Macaca fascicularis: one gene and its partner. The protein of the gene in region 2 binds, or shares a complex with, the protein of the main gene of each other region. Links are inferred from orthologs where the notes say so. Each region holds a gene or a part of one and is shown on either strand. Other genes may lie near its edges.

Region 1 (3,500 bases), on a different chromosome or scaffold from region 2:
TCAGCAAAAACAGTTCCAAATTTTTTTATAATAGTATATTAATGGATGGATAGGGAGTGACATACATTCAAATCTCATGATTAATCTGTGAGTATTTAGTGGTAAACTAATATCTGAGATTTCTTTTTTCTGCATAACAGGAGGCTCTGTATGGTGGCTGTAAGGCTGTATAATATTTAAACCAGAAGAACTGCTCTCTGTCTATAATTGAACACTGTTTTCAGTGTCTTTATATTATTCATTTTATTCTTAAATCTGTAAAGTAGTAAGGTTAGATGGTTAAATCTCAACAGGAGAGAAAATGGAGACTAGTAAGTAGAAGAGCTGAAACTAGTAGCTTAATGCAAAAGGAATGAAGCAGTGAGACAATGTATGTGACTTTGAGATCAGTTTTTATTAAAAAGTTGTATAAATCTGCTATTTTTAACCTATTTTATGAGTCTGATTTAGATCTCTATGGTGGAAATAAAGATGAGAATTTTTTTTAAAGATATTTGAGATAGCAATAATAGAAATATAGACTTCCTAGTTCCTATGTGGCAATGAATTTAAAAAGTACTTTTGGCCAGGCGTGGTGGCTCATGCCTGTAATCCCAGCTCTTTGGGAGGCTGAGGCAGGTTGATCACGAAGTCAGGAGATCGAGACTGTCCTGACTAACACAGTGGAACCCCGTCTCTACTATAAATACAAAAAAATTAGCCGGGCGTGGTAGCCGGCACTTGTAGTCCCAGCTACTCGGGAGACTGAGGCAGGAGAATGATGTGAACCTGGGAGGTGGAGCTTGCAGTGAGTCGAGATCGTGCCACTGCCCTCCAGCCTGGGTGAGAGAGCAAGACTCCTCCTCCAAAAAAAAAAAAAAACGTACTTTTACATAACTGGTTTAAATAACTATGTTCTTAATTATAAAATAATAGCATGATTTTTTAGACATAGTGTGTACCCTGCACAGAGCTAAATAAATATGGCACTACAGTTTCCTATTAACTACACAAACTTATTGGTTGCAGGTCTTTTTACTGTGATCTGATTAAAATATAAAAAAAAGTTATAATATTAACATAGCATCATATATGTGTGTCTGTCTTATTATAGATGCTGCAAAAGATCCATAAGCACGCTTTACTTGCACTTTTCCAAAAGGATTTCCATTTGGAAAAATTGCACATATTATATTGTAGTAATAACTCATATAAGACAACATATGAGTCAGTATCAAGATAAATCATCTTATGTCTATTACCTTGGTGTTATTTGTTCTGCCTGAGTGGGTTAAGCAGACAGGAAAGGTAGAGTTTGAATTTTGATTAGAAATTGAGCCTATCTAATGTAGTCTCTCTATTGTCTTTGGTTTCCTTAAATTCAAATTTGAATTAATTACAATTTTTAAAGATACGCATTTAAGAACCAATAAAGGAATAGCCAAGTTGTAGTTACTCCAGATATAAAACCTGTTTTCTCTCTCTATGTAATCTACAAAGCAAATACTTTATAATAGAGATGGAGTGTTTGCAGATTCATGCATTAATATTCCAATTTCTGTTTAGGGGACTAATCACATTTTAGCTGAGGTGATTTATGCCTTAATTATGAGTATTAATATGTGAAATTATTGACTCCTGGAAAACTTGTGAAATTCTCTCATATGTGCAAATTGAGCATAGTACAATTTAGTGAACAGATAATGACAGTAATGAATATAGGTCACTTTTTATTAAATGAAAAAAATTGTTGGTAGTCCTAATAAAAATACAAAGATGTAATTTTAAAGTTAATTTTGTGTACTATTCCCTGATGGTTCCACTTGTGGATAAGTGGAACTCTCATGGAATCAAAGCTTTCCAAACTGCATCTCTCTTTTGTCTTCTCTTTTAGAATTTCTGATAATTGCTGGTATTGACTGTGATTTGAGTTTTAATTTCTCTCTTTCTTCTCCATCTGCCAGATATATTAAGAAACAAGAATTCCTGGCAACCGGAAGTAAATAATGAGAGAGAAAAGAGATAAAGACACAGATAAAATGCAACTAGGATAATCTAGCCCAGGATGACTTGCTATTATAATAATAGTGTTAAATGGTCTCCTGTATAAAGTGAAACATAGACATTTTGAAATAATACTATTACCTTATTTTGTTTCCTTTTATGTTAGAAGGAAAACAAAATAACATTCTAAAAGTTCTCCATAAACTAAGTCACCTCAAATATTTTAGAAGGAGGTAGGGTAGACCGCGAGGCACTGTGGCTCATGCCTATAATCCCAGCACTTTGGGAGGCTAAGGTGGGCAGATCTCTTGAGACCAGGAGTTCGAGACCAGCATGGCCAACGTGGAGAAACCCTGTCTCTACTAAAAAATTAGCCAGGCTTGGTGGTGTGCGCCTGTAGTCCCAGCTACTCAGGAAGCTGAAGCAGGAGAATCACTTGAACCCAGGAGGAGGAGGCTGCGGTGAGCCGAGATCGTGCCACTGCACTCCAGCCTGGGTGACAGAGCGAGACTTTCTCTCAAAAGAAAAGAGAAGGTAGGGAAATTAAGCATTGTGCATTAGAGCTGATAAGCCCAGTATTAATCTGAAACCCAATTATTAAGTAACAAAATCAAAGAAAATGCTGGTTTCATGGTGAGATAGTAAATTCCTTCTTTCTTGAGTTGACTGATAGTTTCTTAGTGGTGACCTGGAGGTGGTGTTAAGATGGGATTAGAATAAGGTGATAGATAACTGTTCCCTTAAGGCTAAGCAGGGAAGTCAGCAGTCTAGTGGTTTCCATACAAATTAATGAAACATGCTTATACCAGGAATTGGAAAAAAGAGATGATGGTGAAAAATCAGATGAGGAAAATGAAGATAAAGAAGGCAGCAAAGAGAAAAGTAAAGAAGGTGATGATGACGATGACGATGATGCTGCAGAACAGGAGGAATATGATGAAGAAGAGCAAGAAGAGGTAATGGTTCATTTGGGGATGGCAGCAAAATAAATAAGGTTTATCTAATAAGGAATCATATATATAGTATGTACTAAAATCAACAAACAGAAACCAAGATGATGGGAACCAGAAGTATATTATTATCAATGGCATCAATTCCTTGCTATCGAGAGAACTATTATAGCATTGAAATTATAATGATGTCAAATTGAATATAGGAGATAAAAATAACTTGATTGGCAGCTTTGTAAGTATAAATCTGCAAGTTAAGGAGATTGATCAGATTAGTGCAGTTAAGATTTAACAACATAAAAATTTAAGTCAGCAATTCACGTAACGGAGGGCTTAACCACATAGGTCTAGAGGAGAATCCCTGCAGTGTGTTTCAAATTCCAAAGTGCGTGTGGACACTATCAGAGAAGATTGATAATTTAACCTCAGGTATCTGGCTGAGTCAGGACCCTGTGTTTTCGATTTGGGATGCCTAACTTTTAGAATGAAATGCACATAGTACATTTCAGAAGTAGCTTGAGTCAATCAGGTATTTTTAGCAGGGTAACTTTGCAGACCACAGCCTCA
Region 2 (3,500 bases):
GAACACGAAACTCACCTCATTGGAAGACAATGGCTGGGTGAAGGGAGCACTAGAGGAAGTGGTAATCTCACTCATTCGGAGCATGGTTCGCACAATCTCGCTGCTCGTCTGTTTGAAAAGTAAACTAGAATTCAGAAATCACAGTGCTGCCCCCGGCTCTCTGTGCCAATGGCCAGATATGACAAATAAGTAAATGTCCCTGATGACCAATGACAGACCCACTTAGGTATTACCTGGTCCATCCTGTTAGCAACTGCACTCACAATGGCTTGATCACGGAAGTGTTGGTGGAATCTGTCAAGGTTGGCCTGCCAATAAATCCCGTCATCTGGAATGGGCTGAGGAAGAGAAAAGATTTAGAGAGAAACATTTAGATATAATGTAAAGTTTTCTGGTGAGGAGCTTGGATTTAATGGTTCACCATTTCTTTTCCTACACAGTAACAACTAAATTGGTTGGAGAAAAATCATTCAGTCATGTAGATTGGTGTCTAGACAAATCCCAACTTCAAACAGGTTCTCTAAGCTCATCTCCAATCTTTCTCTCCCTATTTTATTATTTTACTTTTTTTTTTGAGATGGAGTTTTGCTCTTGACACCCAGACTGGAGTACAGTGGCATGATCTCGGCTCACTGGAACCTCTGCCTCTCGGGTTCAAGAGATTCTCCTGCCTCAGCCTACCGAGTAGCTGGGATTACAGGCAACCACCACTGAGCTAGGCTAATTTTTCTATTTTTAGTAGAGTTTGAGTTTTACAGTGTTGGCTAGGCTGGTGCTGGGATTACAGGCGTGAGCCACCATGACCGCCCTTTCTCTCCCTATTTTAACTCTTCTCCATTACCCTCAAGTCTCCAACCTGACCCTTCTTCCTTCTCACTCTTGGCAGATGACTTTGCCTCTGATTTCACAGAGAAAATAGAAGCCACTAAGCCAGAACTTACTCAGCTCTGTGCACATCCTCACCACATTTCTTTCTTTTTTGTTCTTAACTCATATTTTCACTCACTTTTATCACAGCTGAAAAATGTTCCTTTTACCTAAGGTTAATGCCCATATTGGTATTCCAGATCTTACTCTCTCATTCATTCTTGGGGATCCAGCTCTATTTTACCCTGTCCTCTAACATCTTCAGCCTTTCCTTCTCTACCGCCTTCTTATCAGCCTTTACCCTGTCCAAGTCTCTTTTACTCTAGAATTCTCCTTCAACCCTATGCCTTCTCTTCTTTTCCTTACTGTCACAGCCAAGCTTCTCAAACAGTTGGCCATCCCAGCTGTTATCTCTATCTAGATTTACTTAACCCGTTTCCACCATTGTACTGAAATGTCAATTGTCACTTGCATTCCAGTGAAATTCCACAATTGTCCCTGAGGACTCTATGTTGTTAAGTTCAAATAATACTTTCCACTTCTGATCTTATTTAACCTTTTGGAAGCATATGACATGGTTGGACATTTTTTCCTTCTTAAAACTTTATGTGGCTCCTTGGATTTTATGACACCATTTTTTTTTTTTCTTTTTAAAGACAGGGTCTTTGTCACCCAGGCTGGAGAGCAGTGGTGTGATCGTAGCTCACTGCAGCCTTGACCTCCTTGGGCTCAGGTGATCCTCTCACCTCAGCCTCCCAAGTAGCTGGGACCACAGGTGTGTGCCACCACGCTTGGGTAATTTTTGTATTTTTTGTAGAGACAGGGTCTCACCATGTTGCTCAGGATGGTCTCAAACTCCTAGGCTCAAGTGATCCGCCAGCCTTGCCCTTCCAAAGTGTTAGGATTACAGGTGTGAGCCACTGGGTCTGGCTGACACTATTTTTTCTTGGTGCTACTTTGAACCTTTCTGGCCACCTTTCCTCAGTCTCCACCGATTCCTCTTTCAGATCCCACCTATAATACTGGTGTTTTGTCAGGGTTCTATCCATACCTTTCCTTTCTTTTTATTCTACATGCTCTACTTGGGTAATTTTATCTGCTCTCCAGGTTTCAACTATTGGTGCATTTCCAAATATGTCACTCTATCCTAGAACCCTCTCTCTCTTTTTTTGAGACGGAGTTTTGCTCTTTTGCCCAGGCTGGAGTGAAGTGGCACAACCTCGGCTCACTGCAACCTCCACCCTCTAGGTTCAAGCGATTCTCCTGCCTCAGCTTCCTGAGTAGCTGGGATTACAAGCCTGTGCCACCATGCCTGGCTAGTTTTTATATTTTTAGTAGAGATGGGGTTTCGCCATGTTGGCTAGGCTGGTCTCGAATTCCTCACCTCAGGTGATCACCCGCCTCGGCCTCCCAAAGTGCTAGGATTACAGGCATGAGCCACCGCACCCGGCCTATCCTAGAACCCTCTATTAGGCTTCAGATGCATAGACTCAGCTGCCTATTTGACACTTTCACTTGTTCTCCAAACTGTTCTGTTTTGTAAGTTTTCAGGTAACTGCACTATAACCATCCCAGTTTTTTTTTTTTGAGACAGGGTCTTGCTCTGTTGCCCAAGCTGTAGTGCAATGGCACAATTGTGGCTCACTGCAGCCTTGACTTCCTGGGCTCAAGTGATCCTCCCACCTCAGCCCCTCAGTAGCTGGGACTACAAGCATGTGCCATCAGGTCTGGTGGATTTTTTTTTTTTTTGGTAGAGATAGGGTCTATGTTGTCCAGGCTGGTCTCAAACTCCTGGGCTCAAGTGATTCTTCTGCGTCAGCCTCCCAAAATGCTGGGATTACGGGCGAGAGCCACTGTGCCTAGACAACCCAATTTCTTTCTTTCTCTCTTTTTTTTTTTTGGAGATAGAGTCTCGCTCTGTCACCCAGGATGGAGTTCAGTGGTGCAATCTCGGTTCACTGCAACCTCTGCCTTCCAGGTTCAGGCCATTATCCTGCCGCAGCCTCCCAAGTAGCTGTGATTGCAGGCACCCACCACCATGGCCGGCTAATTTTTGTATTTTTAGTAGAGACGGGGTTTCACCATGTTGACCAGGCTGGTCTTGAACTCTGACCTCAGGTGATCCACCTGCCTCGGCCTCCCAAAGTGCTGGGATTACAGACGTGAGTCACCGTGCTTGGCCGGCCAACCCAATTTCTTAAGCTACAAACTTGGGTATCACCCCTAGTCCCTTGCTGTCCATAATCTACCACATTACCAAGTTCTATCTACTCTTCATAGTTATCAGATGTCTACTTTTCTCTCTCCTATCATTACCTTATTTCAGACTCTAAATCTTGGCCCATCTGGATTACTACAATAACCTCCTAACTGGTTTTTCTTTTTTCTTGTTTTTTTCCCCTTTAAAACATAGCAGACACTATAAAAGGAATAACTGGGTTTTCTCCTTCTAATTTTGTTTTGCATCATTCTTCCCATTTCTTTTTTTTTTTTTTAAACTGTTTTGGGTCACAGTTCCTTTGAAGAATGTAATGAAAGGTATGGAGAGCTTCACTGAAAAATGCACATAAGTACAAGCAGACTCTCTGAAATCCATCCATGGAGTAGTACAGGTTAGGAACTGCTATGCTATA

Evidence for each region. The genes of interacting proteins can lie anywhere in the genome.
Region 1: POLR3C (region 2) and POLR3G share a complex: the UniProt entries of both Homo sapiens proteins name them as parts of the RNA polymerase III complex. The link is inferred for Macaca fascicularis from reciprocal best matches to the Homo sapiens genes POLR3C and POLR3G.

What each region holds. Positions count from the first base shown.
Region 1 is NC_088380.1:94,508,330-94,511,829, forward strand, and holds part of POLR3G (DNA-directed RNA polymerase III subunit RPC7), read left to right. Parts: intron 1-2,792; coding exon 2,793-2,939; intron 2,940-3,500. UniProt on the Homo sapiens protein: DNA-dependent RNA polymerase catalyzes the transcription of DNA into RNA using the four ribonucleoside triphosphates as substrates.
Region 2 is NC_088375.1:113,582,553-113,586,052, forward strand, and holds part of POLR3C (DNA-directed RNA polymerase III subunit RPC3), read right to left. Parts: intron 339-3,500; coding exon 234-338; intron 109-233; coding exon 16-108; intron 1-15. UniProt on the Homo sapiens protein: DNA-dependent RNA polymerase catalyzes the transcription of DNA into RNA using the four ribonucleoside triphosphates as substrates.